Linked DNA regions of Schizosaccharomyces pombe. The gene in region 3 interacts genetically with the main gene of each other region. Each region holds a gene or a part of one and is shown on either strand. Other genes may lie near its edges.

What was found.
Region 1: mutations in rtf2 (region 3) and prp22 together harm fitness more than expected from each alone (negative genetic interaction), as found in Schizosaccharomyces pombe (one large-scale study listed by BioGRID).
Region 2: mutations in rtf2 (region 3) and dad4 together harm fitness more than expected from each alone (negative genetic interaction), as found in Schizosaccharomyces pombe (one large-scale study listed by BioGRID).
Region 4: mutations in rtf2 (region 3) and fta6 together harm fitness more than expected from each alone (negative genetic interaction), as found in Schizosaccharomyces pombe (one large-scale study listed by BioGRID).

Annotation. Positions count from the first base shown.
Region 1 is NC_003424.3:1,206,272-1,212,385, reverse strand, and holds prp22 (ATP-dependent RNA helicase, spliceosomal Prp22), read left to right. Parts: upstream 1-1,806; 5' UTR 1,807-1,901; coding exon 1,902-1,974; exon of another isoform or gene 1,975-2,027; coding exon 2,028-5,461; 3' UTR 5,462-5,574; downstream 5,575-6,114. Other genes in the region: CTP synthase Cts1, read left to right, coding at 1-181, 402-940. UniProt on the Schizosaccharomyces pombe protein: Acts late in the splicing of pre-mRNA. Required for the splicing of introns with a branch nucleotide to 3'-splice site distance greater or equal to 15. Mediates the release of the spliced mRNA from spliceosomes.
Region 2 is NC_003423.3:4,004,497-4,008,089, forward strand, and holds dad4 (DASH complex subunit Dad4), read right to left. Parts: upstream 1,887-3,593; 5' UTR 1,839-1,886; coding exon 1,734-1,838; intron 1,706-1,733; exon of another isoform or gene 1,675-1,705; coding exon 1,561-1,674; 3' UTR 1,533-1,560; coding exon of another isoform or gene 1,445-1,532; 3' UTR 1,370-1,444; coding exon of another isoform or gene 1,308-1,369; 3' UTR 1,144-1,307; coding exon of another isoform or gene 892-1,143; 3' UTR 787-891; coding exon of another isoform or gene 676-786; 3' UTR 630-675; downstream 1-629. Other genes in the region: ESCRT II complex subunit Vps36, read left to right, coding at 1-219; SNARE protein Vti1, read left to right, coding at 461-486, 524-629, 676-786, 892-1,143, 1,308-1,369, 1,445-1,532; cleavage and polyadenylation specificity factor complex subunit Ctf1, read right to left, coding at 2,361-2,471, 2,509-3,458, 3,501-3,531.
Region 3 is NC_003424.3:651,686-654,970, forward strand, and holds rtf2 (DNA replication termination factor Rtf2), read right to left. Parts: upstream 1,588-3,285; 5' UTR 1,550-1,587; coding exon 1,537-1,549; intron 1,494-1,536; coding exon 1,078-1,493; exon of another isoform or gene 1,014-1,077; coding exon 891-1,013; exon of another isoform or gene 845-890; coding exon 674-844; 3' UTR 540-673; downstream 1-539. Other genes in the region: phosphatidylinositol synthase (CDP-diacylglycerol--inositol 3-phosphatidyltransferase) Pis1, read left to right, coding at 1-163; 3' tRNA-processing endonuclease tRNAse Z L2 Trz1, read left to right, coding at 2,089-2,473, 2,511-3,285. UniProt on the Schizosaccharomyces pombe protein: Putative splicing factor that is required for the correct splicing of a subset of pre-mRNAs. Required for the correct splicing of rtf1, a replication termination factor that mediates site-specific replication termination at replication barrier RTS1.
Region 4 is NC_003424.3:4,781,537-4,784,338, forward strand, and holds fta6 (protein Fta6), read right to left. Parts: upstream 771-2,802; 5' UTR 738-770; coding exon 707-737; intron 660-706; coding exon 511-659; downstream 1-510. Other genes in the region: pheromone p-factor receptor Mam2, read left to right, coding at 1-198; ARP2/3 actin-organizing complex actin-related protein subunit Arp2, read left to right, coding at 1,519-1,566, 1,617-2,741. UniProt on the Schizosaccharomyces pombe protein: Component of the kinetochore, a multiprotein complex that assembles on centromeric DNA and attaches chromosomes to spindle microtubules, mediating chromosome segregation and sister chromatid segregation during meiosis and mitosis.

The DNA.
Region 1 (6,114 bases), 550 kb from region 3:
TGGCATTTAGTCTGTTCTGCCAATGGTATCCTAGTGCCTGGCGGATTCGGCTCTCGCGGTGTCGAAGGGATGATTGCCGCAGCCAAGTGGGCTCGTGAAAATAATACACCCTACTTGGGCATTTGCCTTGGTATGCAAGTTGCCGTTATTGAATTCGCGAGAAGTGTTTGTGGAATTGAAGGTATGTTTTTTGATGCTTTTATTGGACTCCATTTTAAATTTTTAACTGCCTTCTATTATTTTTGGGATCTATAGATTCCATGCACTTACTAGAGGTTTTTGTCATTTTCCGTTGACTCTAACTGTAGACAAGTGCTACATGAATAGTTAAACAGTTATTATTAATTGGAGCATATTTTTTATTTTGCTTCTTTCAAAAGATTTTTAACTAACATTTCTAGGTGCATTTTCTGAAGAATTCGATAAGGAATGCGAAAACAATGTTGTTGTTTATATGCCTGAGATTGATAAGGATAAACTGGGTGGAACTATGCGTTTGGGATTGAGACCTACCTTTTTCCAACCCAATTCCGAATGGAGTAAACTTCGTAAACTTCATAAGATGGTTGATGAAGTTTTGGAAAGACATCGTCATAGATATGAAATAAATCCTGCGTTTGTAAGCCGTTTGGAACAAGGTGGAATTTCTTTCATCGGAAAAGATGAACGTGGTGAGCGTATGGAAATTATTGAGAAACGTGACCATCCTTACTTTGTTGGCGTACAATACCATCCTGAATATTTATCTAAGCCACTTAAGCCCTCCCCACCGATTTTTGGATTGGTTGCGGCCAGTGCTGGCTTGTTGGATGAATTTATTCAGTCTGGTGAGGAAGTCGAATGGAGCAACTTTTCTCATTTTAACGCTGAATCTGCCTTAGCTGACATGAATGACTCTGTTGAAGTTACTGAAGAAGCCACTGTCGTCACCATCAGTTAGAAGTAGGTTATATGGGATTCCGGGAATTAGGAAATAATGTGTGTTTGTTGGTGTGTTTTTCTTTATCTATAGGAAAAATTGGGTTCTGGGGTGTTGACACTATTTATCAATTGTTGTTCTGCTCAAAAGCTTTCTTTTGATGTATCCAGTAATTTTGCAACTGAACCGTTAGTCTAATTAAGCTTAACGTTATAGAGACTATCTAGAGATATGAAATGACTCTCAGAACTTCTGAGCCATTTTTACGGTTATTATATTGTAGACATTTAGAGTAATGCGTTTTGAATGCTCATTACGTGTGAGTTAATCACAGAGGCTCTGTAACAATGCATGCAAATACTGTGTTTAAAATACAGTACAAATGACATAAATCTATTAGCATATGAGGTGCCGTAGTACTGTATTAATATAGATCGATACTTTTCGAAAAGCGCTATTAAAGTATTTACGTTGATTTGCATAGGTAATAAATATGTCAAGTGTACAAGCATACTTGCAAAAAGCACTTCAGTACGTATCAATCGTTGAAAACTGTAGATAGACTTATATATTTTTATATTCGCTACGCCCTGTCATTGATTTAGCCATTAAAACATTCTAGAAATACCTTACGTAAACTTTGACAGTAATTAAACATTCAAGTTGCAAAAATTATTTCTTAATAAGGTACGAAACTCACCCCAGTTCCTATTGTAAACAACACGGACTCAAAGTTCAAATAATAAGTAGAGCCTCGACATTATTATAACGAACTGTAATTCAGCTACCTTATTTGCCTTTGGCGCAACTCGTTGCGTTGACAGCCATGAATATTTATTTGTACAAAGTTAGGAAACGCGATTGTCTATTGCACGCGTTTCATTTTTAACCATACACCTATGTTTGGTATGGAGCAATTTTGAAAGTCTTCTTCAAACTTCGATTTAATTTTTAGTGAATCCTAGTGGGAGAAAAGACAATAATGGACGATCTGAAAGAATTGGAGTATTTATCCTTGGTATCTAAAGTTGCCTCTGAAATTCGAAATCATACTGGTAAGTAGTAGGCTTTAATACTCATTTTTTTATAAATAATTAACCAAATCTAGGAATTGACGATAATACTCTTGCAGAATTTATTATTAATTTGCATGATCAGTCTAAGAATTACGATGAGTTTAAAAATAATGTCCTTTCATGTGGAGGAGAATTCACCGACAGTTTCCTTCAAAACATAAGTCGATTAATTAAGGAAATTAAGCCTAAAGATGACATTCCCACTGATAATGTAAATAATGGTAGTAACTCGGTCAATGGAGCTTCGCATGATTTAGATAGCAAAGATGTTGACAAACAACACCAAAGAAAGATGTTTCCTGGCTTAAGCATCCCAAATAGCACGAATAATTTAAGGGATAGACCAGCGCTTATGGATAATGCTATGGACGAGCTGGAAGAACTTTCGACGTTGGCCAAAACAAGGAGAAACGATAGGGATTCTAGGAGGGATGAGCGGCATTACCTCAATGGAATAAGGGAACGTAGAGAGAGATCAATTAGTCCCAGTTTTTCGCATCATTCACGTACCTCAATTTCTGGTCAATCACATTCTAGTCGATCATCGCGTGGTCCATTGCTAAATGCTCCAACATTGTATGGAATTTATTCTGGTGTTGTCTCAGGTATTAAGGACTTTGGTGCCTTTGTAACTTTGGACGGCTTTAGAAAGAGAACTGATGGTTTGGTTCATATCTCAAATATCCAATTAAATGGGAGATTGGATCATCCTTCAGAGGCTGTTAGCTATGGACAACCTGTATTTGTAAAAGTTATTAGAATTGATGAATCAGCAAAGCGAATCAGCCTGTCAATGAAGGAGGTGAATCAAGTTACAGGTGAGGATTTGAATCCGGATCAAGTTTCACGTTCTACAAAGAAGGGTAGTGGAGCAAACGCTATTCCATTATCAGCCCAAAATTCTGAAATTGGACATGTGAATCCACTTGAAACGTTCACTTCAAACGGTCGGAAGCGTTTAACATCACCTGAAATATGGGAGTTACAGCAACTTGCTGCATCCGGTGCAATTTCCGCTACGGATATTCCTGAACTCAACGATGGATTCAATACTAATAATGCTGCGGAAATTAATCCCGAAGATGATGAAGACGTAGAAATCGAACTTCGTGAAGAAGAACCTGGATTTCTCGCAGGACAAACCAAAGTTTCATTAAAGCTATCTCCTATAAAAGTTGTAAAGGCCCCGGATGGTTCATTGTCCAGAGCAGCAATGCAAGGGCAGATTTTAGCAAATGATAGACGAGAAATAAGACAAAAGGAGGCAAAATTAAAGAGTGAACAAGAAATGGAAAAGCAAGACTTATCCCTCTCATGGCAAGACACTATGTCGAATCCTCAGGATCGGAAATTTGCCCAAGATGTGCGAGACTCAGCTGCTCGTCAACTTACTTCTGAAACTCCCAGCTGGCGTCAAGCAACACGAAATGCAAATATATCCTACGGTAAAAGAACAACACTGAGCATGAAAGAGCAAAGAGAGGGTCTTCCAGTTTTTAAACTTCGTAAACAGTTTCTCGAGGCTGTCTCAAAAAACCAAATTTTGGTTCTACTCGGTGAAACCGGTTCCGGTAAGACCACTCAAATCACTCAATATCTTGCTGAAGAAGGTTATACCAGTGATAGCAAAATGATAGGTTGTACTCAACCTAGGCGTGTAGCTGCAATGTCTGTTGCCAAACGTGTAGCAGAAGAAGTGGGATGTCGTGTTGGTGAAGAGGTTGGTTACACTATTCGTTTCGAAGATAAGACCAGTAGAATGACCCAAATTAAATATATGACTGATGGTATGCTTCAACGAGAATGTTTAGTTGATCCTCTTTTGTCCAAATATTCTGTAATTATTTTAGATGAAGCACATGAAAGAACCGTTGCAACTGATGTACTTTTTGGACTGTTAAAGGGAACTGTTTTGAAACGGCCAGATTTAAAGCTAATTGTTACTTCAGCCACGCTAGATGCTGAGCGGTTTTCGTCTTATTTCTATAAATGCCCAATTTTTACGATTCCTGGGCGTTCATATCCCGTCGAAATCATGTATACAAAACAACCAGAAGCCGACTATCTTGATGCTGCTTTGATGACTGTTATGCAAATCCACTTGAGCGAAGGACCTGGTGATATATTAGTATTTCTGACAGGTCAAGAAGAAATTGATACTAGTTGTGAAATATTATATGAAAGAAGTAAAATGCTAGGAGATTCGATTCCTGAGCTAGTTATTTTACCTGTTTATTCAGCGCTTCCTTCGGAAATACAAAGTCGTATTTTTGAACCTGCTCCCCCAGGAGGTCGTAAGGTAGTAATTGCAACCAACATTGCTGAAACTAGTTTAACAATTGATGGAATTTATTATGTGGTGGACCCTGGGTTTGTCAAGCAGAGCTGCTTTGATCCAAAACTAGGCATGGATTCTCTAATAGTTACGCCAATTTCTCAAGCACAAGCTAGGCAAAGAAGTGGTCGTGCAGGGCGTACAGGACCCGGAAAATGTTATCGTCTGTATACTGAAAGCGCTTACCGAAACGAAATGTTGCCTTCCCCGATTCCTGAGATACAACGCCAAAATTTGTCGCATACTATTTTGATGTTAAAGGCAATGGGAATTAACGACCTTTTGAATTTTGATTTTATGGATCCTCCACCTGCTCAAACCATGATAGCCGCCTTGCAAAATCTGTATGCACTGTCGGCCTTGGACGATGAGGGATTGCTGACTCCTCTTGGGCGAAAAATGGCAGATTTCCCGATGGAGCCTCAATTGTCAAAAGTATTGATTACTAGCGTAGAATTAGGTTGCTCTGAAGAAATGTTGAGTATTATTGCCATGCTTAGCGTACCTAACATTTGGAGCCGACCAAGGGAGAAGCAGCAAGAAGCTGATCGACAACGAGCACAATTTGCAAATCCTGAGAGTGATCACTTAACCTTACTTAATGTGTATACGACTTGGAAAATGAATCGTTGCTCAGATAATTGGTGTTATGAACATTATATCCAAGCCCGTGGTATGCGTCGAGCTGAAGATGTACGCAAACAGCTTATTCGCCTAATGGATCGGTATCGACACCCAGTTGTTTCATGTGGAAGAAAGAGAGAACTTATTTTACGGGCTTTGTGTTCTGGCTACTTTACCAATGTTGCCAAGCGAGACTCTCACGAGGGATGTTACAAAACGATCGTGGAGAATGCTCCTGTATACATGCATCCTAGTGGAGTTTTATTTGGAAAAGCTGCAGAGTGGGTGATATACCATGAACTGATTCAAACGTCAAAAGAATACATGCACACGGTAAGCACAGTGAATCCAAAATGGCTTGTGGAAGTTGCACCAACATTCTTTAAATTTGCCAATGCAAATCAAGTTTCCAAAACCAAGAAAAATCTCAAGGTGCTACCATTGTACAATCGATTTGAAAAACCCGATGAGTGGAGGATTTCAAAGCAACGAAAGGGAGGTCGTTAATAATTTTGTTGTTTATTATTTATATAAAATGTATTAATTAGATATGTTGTTTTGGTACTACAAAAAGATATGGGGGTCATAAATAAAATCTTTGTTGATATATTCAAAATCGTACTTTGAAGTGTCTTAGCTGGCTATTAGTTCGTGAGACGTTTAGAAAACGAGCAGTATATGTTGGGTTTTAGTTCTGCTTGGTTATGAAAATAGTGGACAGCTTTCCAAGTGCTGCAAAGTACAAGGGTAATTCAAAGTACAAGAGTATTTCATAGTACGAGATGACGCCAAAAATCCCTCTCTACTGTGGAAAGGAAAAAAAAAAAACTGATCACCGGCTAGACCCAAACACTCTTATGATATGGCAGCATACAACGTGTAAATTACTCTCATTCTCGCTCGAAATAACTCTAACCCCTAGCCGAGACAATATTGAGCCATCTGTCGCTTGCCTTAGATCTCTGTGATTGTGCTTACCACCTTAATCAAAGCGCGCGTTAAAATTAATGCCATTCCACGCAATACCACGTAATAATGCTGTTGGCTTACAGTATTGCGTGCCCCGTTACAAAATGATCCGTAATTTTCAGGCGATGGGAATAATAAGGTTGTATAATCCAGAGAAGTAATCGTGTTAAGGAGATTTGAGAGAAATTTGC
Region 2 (3,593 bases), on a different chromosome or scaffold from region 3:
GCTATATTGGAAGTTATGAATCCTAGCACTACGGCTTTGAAATGTGCAATGAGGTTGCATTGGTCCATTGGTGTAACGTTAGAAAGACTTTATCAAGCTGAGATGGACGGTTACATTGTACGTGATGTTTATGAAGAATCTGGTTCTAGCTTACTATACTGGAAAAACGAATTTGACGAATTATCAGAAGAATTGACTAAATGGTTTGATGAATCATAGGAATAATAACTGTACACTATCTAATTAATATTCATTCCTTTTAACATTGTATTTTTCTTTCGCTTTAGTAGATTCCTCTCTACACACGCCTTAATTAATATGACTACCTGTTATGGGTATTCGATTCCCAACGTAACCATTTAATCTTAACCTACACCTATTTTATTTTTAATTCATTTGAGAAACTGTTTACACGATAGTTTCAAGAAATCTAATATATCAATATTAATAATTGTTAAATATGGAGACGTACGAGCAAGAATATCGGTATGTCTAATACCATTACAAGTTTACTAATAATTAGCTTGCTTCGAGCAGATATCGAAGAAAAACTTAATGATTTAAGTAAAAGTGGTGAGAACTCTGTTATTCAATCATGTCAGAGACTTTTAAATGAAATTGATGAAGTAGTATGTTGGAATAATTTGTGTTTTTAAAAAAGTGGCTAACTTGCAGATTGGTCAAATGGAAATTGAAATTACCGGTATCCCTACTTCTGAAAGAGGTCTCGTAAATGGAAGAATTCGTAGTTATCGTTCAACTTTGGAGGAGTGGCGTAGACACCTGGTAAGTTAGCTATATCGAACATTCTTCTTTTGAAGCTTTACAGAAATTACTATGAGACAATCTACTTTTATTTACCAAATTCATACTAACAATTTTCTCGTTTAGAAGGAAGAAATTGGCAAATCAGATAGGAAAGCCCTTTTTGGAAATAGGGATGAAACATCCGGTGATTATATTGCAAGTGATCAAGATTATGACCAAAGAACTCGTTTGTTACAAGGAACAAATAGACTTGAGCAATCTTCACAGCGTCTTCTTGAATCACAACGGATTGCGAATGAGACTGAAGGCATTGGTGCTAGCATTCTTCGTGATCTTCATGGTCAAAGAAATCAATTGGAGCATTCTTTAGAGATGGTAAGTAATTATTGCAAAATAGATAAATGAATCACTATGATTGATAAGATAAAATGCGCGATTTATACGCATATCTTAGCCAAGCTTATTAGCTCCATGGTTTAAAAATATAGTTTTCTTTTATGCTATGTATAAATTTCTTTGAGATTTGTTAACCAAATTAGCTTGGAGATACGTCTGGACACCTTGATCGAAGTTTAAGAACTCTGAAGACAATGGCAAGAAGGTAGGACACAGATAGACATTATTATAGTGATATGAATCGTCATGTAATGATCTTTTATACTAACTCATTTTAAAGACTTGCCATGAACAGATTTTTCACGACAGCAATAATTGCAATCCTTGTTATATTAATTTTGCTTGTGCTTTATAGCAAATTTCGTTAGCACAAATATTAAAGAACATCATATAACTTTAGATGGGATCTTTAAGCGTATGGGTCTCTTCCAAGTGGAATTTTACGTTTCTTGCATAATTCGCCCACATTTGACTAGCTAGCTCAACATTCATATTAGACATATTAATTAGCTTTAAGAATGTCAGCGGAAAGTTGATATGTACACAAATATTTGACGTCGTAATCTTACCTGTAATGAATGATTGAGTCTTGTAATACTTTCATTCAGCTTTTCTACATTACTTATGATCCTTCCTAATAATGCGCTTTGCTGTTCTTCCATAGGATTATTCATTTTCGATGGTTTTCAATTTCCTAAACTGTAATTATGTAGTCTGTACTTGGAAGCTTGCATGAGCCAGTGCTGACACTTCGTAGTTGGAAAAATTGAACTACAATTTTAAACCTGTGATCTAAATTTTTTTTAAGAAATTGAACTTTTTGGGAATTTATGAGTTGCATATTTATTTGAGAAGTATCAGTTGATGTTACCACCTACATTTTTATAATATATTTACGATCAAAAGGGCAGTTTAAAATATAAAAAATAATAAATTTTAATATGAAATATTGATTGAGTAAATTTTTATAAAAGGATATTGAATAAAGGATCCAAGAAATAGCCCTCCATAACGCGTATAGAAACAAATATTTATGAGAAGCAAAACATCCGAATAGTATAAAGAAGTGTGTAGTATGAAAAGGTATCAGTGCTAGGATATGGTTTATAGTGTTGTAAATAAATTATCTTGCACACCAAATTTAAGTACTTGGTCAAATGCTAATATTTAATCTCTTGATATTACTAAAATTAGACTTACTGTCGAAAATGCTGCCGACGAATGCTAAGAATTTGATCCCTTTGTGCAGGAGGTAATGCGTTAATTTGCTCTGGGGTAAGAGCCAACAATTGTTGTATGAGGGCCATCTGTTTTGTTAGTGCAAAAAAAAAAAAAAAAACGTACCCGCTTCCCTTCATTGCCCTGATCTGAACCATTCGCTTGTTGACTTTTATGGTTACTAGAAGGTATTTTTTGGGGAACAGAAGGAGGAGAGGAAGTTGCTGAAGCTGGTTGATGCATGTTTTTATTCTTCACTGCGACTACTACTTGTTGTAAGACATTTGCGTCAACTAAGTTCATCAGCAACATAGCTTGAAAGGCGGCGTATGGTAAAGCAGGATTAGCAATTAGAAGTCGTCGTGCCTCTTCTGGTGCTATATGAACTACAGTCTGAAGTTTGGACAACATATTGAGAAGTTCCTGAGCTGAGAAGGTAGATAGTACCTGAACGACAGACGGGGCCAATGGGATAGAAGTCGGATTCGATATAGAAGTCCCGGAAGTGTAATCCCCTTTGTTTTGTGAAGATTTATTATACTGAAAGGTTCTTGCATTGTATGCATCTGTATGGGGTTGACTGGCAGAATCAAAGTCGGAGGTCATACTGTTGTGAAAATTATAAGCAGGAACAGAAGTAGAATTTATATTTTTATTAAGATTAGTAGCCATTGACGACGAATAAATAGCAGGACTTGGCATCCCACCTCCTTGTGAAGCAGGCAGGGAAGATGTTGAATGCAAAACAGGAGGAATAAAACGGGAATTATAAGAACTTTCATGAGCATTTTGCTGTTCCATGTATCTATCAGTACGCTCCGTATATTCATAACTTTGATTCCTTCTGGGATCATTTGATGGAAACTCGACACGAATCTTACGAGGTCCTAATTCGGAATTATTTAACTTTCGTACAGCCATAGCGGTAGTCTCACTATCAAAAAACTCACAAAACCCATAACCCTTCCCACTACCTGTTTCCGGATCAAGTACAAGTTTGAAAGTCTTTACTGGTCCAACTTGATTAAAGATTTCAGTCATTTGCTGTTCCGAAACATCATATGGAATGTTACCAACTAAATTAGATTAGCAAAACCGAATATTTAAAGAATTATTACCAAATACGACATTCCCGGCTGTCATCGACATGCTGGTAGTCGCGTCTTTCGGTTTTGCCCATTCAACCAACGTACTGCTACTACTACTACTAC
Region 3 (3,285 bases):
GACTGGAGAGCTCCCTCTTTCCTATCCGACCCTTCTAGCCGTTTTATGTGGTCCTATTTGCCTTGCCAAACAAATTATTAACGTTGTTCAGCTGGTGAATGCTGCCAATGCCTTGGTTAAAATGGATGTTGAGCAAAGAAGGGCTGCAAAGAAGCTTCAATAAACACAGGGTTATCCTATTTTCATATTTTCTGTTTACCAAATTTTCTATTTTTAATCAGGATGGTTTCAATCTGAACATCCTCGACCTTAGATCTGCAAGCTTACTTTGTGCATTCTCTTTGATTTTACCTCTTATAATTCAATACCTTTTTTTTGACATTTTCTCTTTCTAAAAGCCTTAATTCTATTGGGCTAAGCACTTTTGTGTTAAGCTTAGCCTTTGGGATTATTTTCTGTCACCTTTAAAAGCTTGGTTGGAGTGATTGCACTGATTAATAAAAAAATGCATCCACAACGTGAAGCCATTCGTCGAAAAGCTTATTTAGAAATAGAATGCTTTACTTATTTAAGCGATATAACTTTCACTTTACTTCAATAAATTTAATCGTTCGTTGCATTAATTTAAAAACATTGTTTATGATAAAAAAATCCTATTTAAATGTACATAGTAGATTTTTTTTTAAAAGATAAATGTATGTGTGTATTAATTTACCCATAAATAAAGCGTCCCTCAAATCTTCACCCTTTTTACACGTTCCATGTCAGTTACACTGGTCTCAGATTTTACGTTTTCTCCATCCAACATTCTATTTGTCCGCAATTCATGCTTAGCGTGCTTGCTATTTGATTTTGAAACATGTTTTCGTTTTTTATCGCCGTTTTTATTTGATTTCTTTGAAGCCTAAGTATGTTAGTCATTGCCGAATTTTGAAAATTCTGTGAAGTACCTTATTTAAACTGTGAGTCTTTTCAGATAATGCGAGATCAAGAAGGCGTTTACTTAATGTTTTTAATTGCTCAGCATTCGGGTTGATGGGAATAACGTCTTTTTCCTCGTAGACCTGATTACACTGATGTTGTGTTAGCAATAACTCAAGGGTTGGAAATGCTTTTCTTAGCTATCGATAGACTTACTTGAAAACACATTTTCTCGCCAAACTGCTTCAAGGCAGAGTATTCAAATACATGACCGCAAGGCACTATGTAGGCGAATTGGTATGTATCAGACATTACATGTCTTGTAATCGGGCATAACCATAGCACTTTACCGGAATCATCCAGCTCAACTTGAAGTTGTACCACGTCTTTCAGTGATTTTATATGAGAAGGGCTTTTCGGAACACTTGACCTATCTAACAGCATTTGTAAAATGCTTGCTTTGTTATACAGTTTTCCTAAACCACACGATACAATTGGAGGGTATAAGGGCTCATCCGTAATGGCACACTGAGAAAATTGAGAAGATTTTACAGAACGTTTAAAGTCTATATCAAGCGGCGGTACTTTGCCAGGCTCTTTCACTAATTCGTTTCGGGTTGGTAATGATCCTCCTAAAACATGTTAAAATTTAGAAGCAAAATAAACGAATCCTACCGTCATTTCCCATAGTTTACTTGTGTGTATTAAATATTACAGAGTAGTGTTAAGTAAGCATATTTCAAAGAAGCGCTTACATTCCACGACTGCATTTACTGCATTCTACTATAATGCACTAAAATTAAACGTTAGGTTTCGTTACGCAAGATATACCGAAATGTCAAATACAATTTTCGCTTCAATGATCTTCGCTTATTTTTAAACCTTATTTAAATTGCAAACATTTGTGATGGGAATACGTAGTTGCGTTAAGGACTTACGAAAGTATACACCAAAAGCAGCAATTTTTCTTCTACAACAGCTGGTTTGTAGGTTTCAACTACGAGTTAACTGCTTCTTTCATACATCTAAATCAATGTTATATGAAACATTTTGTGAAATCCGAAACCTCTTACTCTTAGTATCCAGTTGAGTTCGAAAATTGGTACTGAGTAGCTATTAGTATTTTAGGCCCCTTTACTTACTTTTGTTTTTGTTAACTTAGATTTCGGACCCTTTTTTTTTTATTCATATTGAACCTTTTCCTTTTTCTTTTTCAGGTCGTGTTAAATGTCGAAAACTGTTAATTTTAGGGCAACAAAAAATTTCTATTTACAATTTGTGAGCGTCAGTTCTCGGGATACATCTTGTATTCCCTGCATCCACTTATTTTTTGATTCTAAGAGGTATGTATTTGGAAGCGTAGGGGAAGGTTGTCAAAGAGCTATACTCTCCCAACAGCTTCGATTATCAAAGATTAAAGATGTCTTCTTAATGCAAGGATCTTCAATATCATCACCAGATACATATGATTCTTCTTCTTCATCGTCTACTACCTCTGTTTCTGATATGCTACAGCTGGATGATCGGGACAAAGTTATTGTATCTGAACGTAATAGTATGTGCTCGACTGTAAACTATCCTACATGGTGGGATTCTTGTGGTGGGTTTCCAGGTAAGTGTTAAATATATTTAATAATTTCTGACAATAGGCTTTTTGCTGTCTCTCAATGATATTTCGGAACCTGGGGAAACCGGAGAAGCTAGTCCTTTTGTCCTTCATGGACCTAGTGAAGTTCATCAGTTTTTATCTTCGATGCGGCATTTCACTTATCATACGAATGTAAATTTAACGGTACAGGGATATACTTCGGCTGAGGCCCCAGTATTCGTTGATGAAAATATTTGTGTAACTCCGGTAGTTGTTTCACTAGTTAAAAATTCTTTTAAAAAAAGGAAGCATGAAAACATTAACAGAGGTACAAATGCAAGACCATTAAAAGAGGATAGAGCAAATACTTCTCCTCATTGGTATTCTCACGTTTCCAATGATACATCATTCGTCGTTGAGAATGCAATGTATAACACTCCGGCTCCTTTGGAACCAGACAAGCCAGAGCTGTTTATTTCTTATATTGTTCAATCCCATCCTACCCCAGGGAAATTTGACGCCGCAAAAGCAAAATCGCTTGGTATCACGAAAGGATTAGACTGTGGTAGACTCGCTCGAGGAGAACCTGTAACTCTTGAAAACGGAAAAACAGTATATCCAAAAGAAGTGATTGGTCCTTCTATTCCTGGCTCCTCCTTTTTTATTATTCATTGCCCCAACGAACTCGTAATTGACTTGGTCATTGAAAATCATAAATGGACAAATGCACCTAAACCTGTTTGTGTCATTCATTCGGTTACACCAGAAGTATACAAAAATCCACGTTATCAGAGCTGGATTTCTTCATTCCCAAGTGAGGTGAGCCATCTAATTGC
Region 4 (2,802 bases), 4.1 Mb from region 3:
CTGCTAATCATTTCTCTTCCTCTTTCGAGTTTATGGGCGTCTAGTACAGCTCTGAAATTGCAAAGCATGAAAACTTCATCTGCGCAAGGAGAAACCACCGAGGTTTCGATTAGAGTTGATAGAACGTTTGATATCAAACATACTCCCAGTGACGATTATTCGATTTCTGATGAATCTGAAACTAAAAAGTGGACGTAACTTACGCCTGAATGTATCTTTTTTGATAATTCCTAATACTGGCTCAATAACAGTCCCAAATAACATAGACGGTTTTTTTACGATAGGCTTGTAATCATAATTTGCTCAGAGGGAAGTTTTCTAATGGTTTTTTTTTTTTCGCTTCATGAACAATTGTTTACTATAAACATCAATGAAATTATATGATTATAATAACTTATTATCATGAAAACTTCAAGTCGTACTTCACAAACACTTATTAAAACAATAGTGAATGAACTGCCTTCGTAATCTATAATGAACTATAATGTTTTGAGTCTCCAAGTGCTTACCTTACGAACTTTTTTTTTTATTTAAAGCTTCTTGTACCGTAGAAGCCATATCATTCATCGAAGAAGCTAATTCCTTTCTAAGCATCGTTTGCTTTTGTACTTTGGCCGATTGCATTAGCAGTTCTTCCAGACGTGATTTAAACGTTTCCACTATATACACGTAAGTATTGAGCTATTAAATAAAAATTATAACCAACCTGCTGACAATAAAATGTATTTATCCTCCATTTATTTTTATCAAATATTGTATCGAAATGTTTTAGCTGCGAAACGTTACACTCCTTAATTTAGTAATAGCAATATAATAAGGATCTTTAAACCGATATGTGTTATTCTCAAATTGCATTGCTCCACTTATTTCAGTAAACAGATGACAAATATTCAATAATGGTATATGTCGATAATTATAATTCTTTTGTTTAAGTCTTGTATTCAATTTAATGCACACATCTAGTTACTAGAGAAATAAATTCTTTATTAAATCGGTTCCGCGATTCTTCATTTTTGCACAGCGCTCCTAGTCATACCAATCTCATAATAAACGATCGAAGTGTTACCTGCACATTAAACAAACAAATAGAGTCCGTGTTTTTCTTTTAAATAATAGTAATACTATGTGAAACGAAGAATCTTTTAACTAATAAGCGATAATATACATTACTGCCGAACAATTATAAATGCACAGTTATGGCTTTGAGTATAAGGGGTAACGATACTAATGCTAAGTACAATAGAAGATAAGATCATTAACCGTAAAAACCTTTGAGCTATTCTTTTTGCAGCCAATTGTTAAATTAATTTAGATACTTCATTTCTGTTTTATAATTCTCAAGATTACTGCACTTCGCTTTCCTACGATATTACATATTTACGATATATCACCGAATGCTCTGCTACAGTTGCAGTGCTGCTGTGTCATACGGTATATGGCAGATAGTTACCGCCGGTACATTACATAGGGGTGGACTTAAGAACTAACCTTTCACCAACTACACGAGACGTTTATAAAATGGAGTCTGCTCCCATTGTTCTAGATAATGGAACTGGTTTTGTGAAGGTAATCAGTTTAATTAAATCTTTGTTTACACTGTGACTAACGTTAGCAAGGTCGGATATGCTAAAGACAATTTTCCGCGCTTTCAATTCCCATCCATCGTAGGAAGGCCCATTTTACGTGCTGAAGAGAAAACAGGAAATGTTCAAATTAAAGATGTTATGGTCGGTGATGAAGCTGAGGCGGTGAGATCTTTACTTCAAGTAAAATATCCCATGGAAAATGGCATTATCCGTGATTTTGAAGAGATGAATCAACTTTGGGATTACACTTTCTTTGAAAAACTAAAAATTGATCCGAGGGGTAGGAAAATTTTGTTGACCGAGCCCCCTATGAATCCTGTTGCTAACCGCGAAAAAATGTGTGAGACAATGTTTGAACGGTATGGTTTTGGTGGTGTTTATGTCGCCATTCAGGCCGTTCTCTCTTTATACGCACAGGGATTAAGCAGTGGTGTAGTTGTTGATTCTGGTGACGGTGTAACCCATATTGTGCCTGTCTATGAAAGTGTTGTTTTAAATCATTTAGTTGGTCGCCTTGACGTTGCCGGTAGGGATGCTACCCGCTATTTGATTAGCTTACTTCTTCGTAAGGGTTATGCTTTCAATCGTACAGCAGACTTTGAAACTGTTCGCGAGATGAAAGAAAAACTTTGTTACGTTAGTTATGATTTGGAATTGGACCATAAGCTTAGCGAAGAAACTACCGTTTTAATGCGTAATTACACCCTTCCTGATGGAAGAGTTATTAAAGTTGGTTCTGAGCGTTATGAATGTCCAGAATGTCTATTTCAACCTCATCTGGTTGGTAGTGAACAACCAGGTTTGAGTGAATTTATTTTTGACACTATCCAAGCAGCTGATGTGGACATTCGCAAGTATTTGTATCGCGCCATTGTTCTCTCAGGTGGTAGCAGTATGTATGCCGGTCTTCCTTCACGTCTTGAAAAGGAAATAAAACAGTTATGGTTTGAGCGTGTTCTTCATGGAGATCCCGCACGTTTGCCTAACTTTAAGGTTAAGATTGAAGACGCTCCTCGTCGCCGTCATGCCGTGTTTATCGGCGGCGCCGTATTGGCAGATATCATGGCTCAAAACGATCACATGTGGGTGTCCAAGGCAGAATGGGAGGAGTATGGAGTACGTGCACTAGACAAATTGGGTCCTAGAACTACTTAGAGTATATTTATGTTTAATGTTCTGTTTCTTTCTTTTTATGTGCTAGTAAATTGAGTTATAC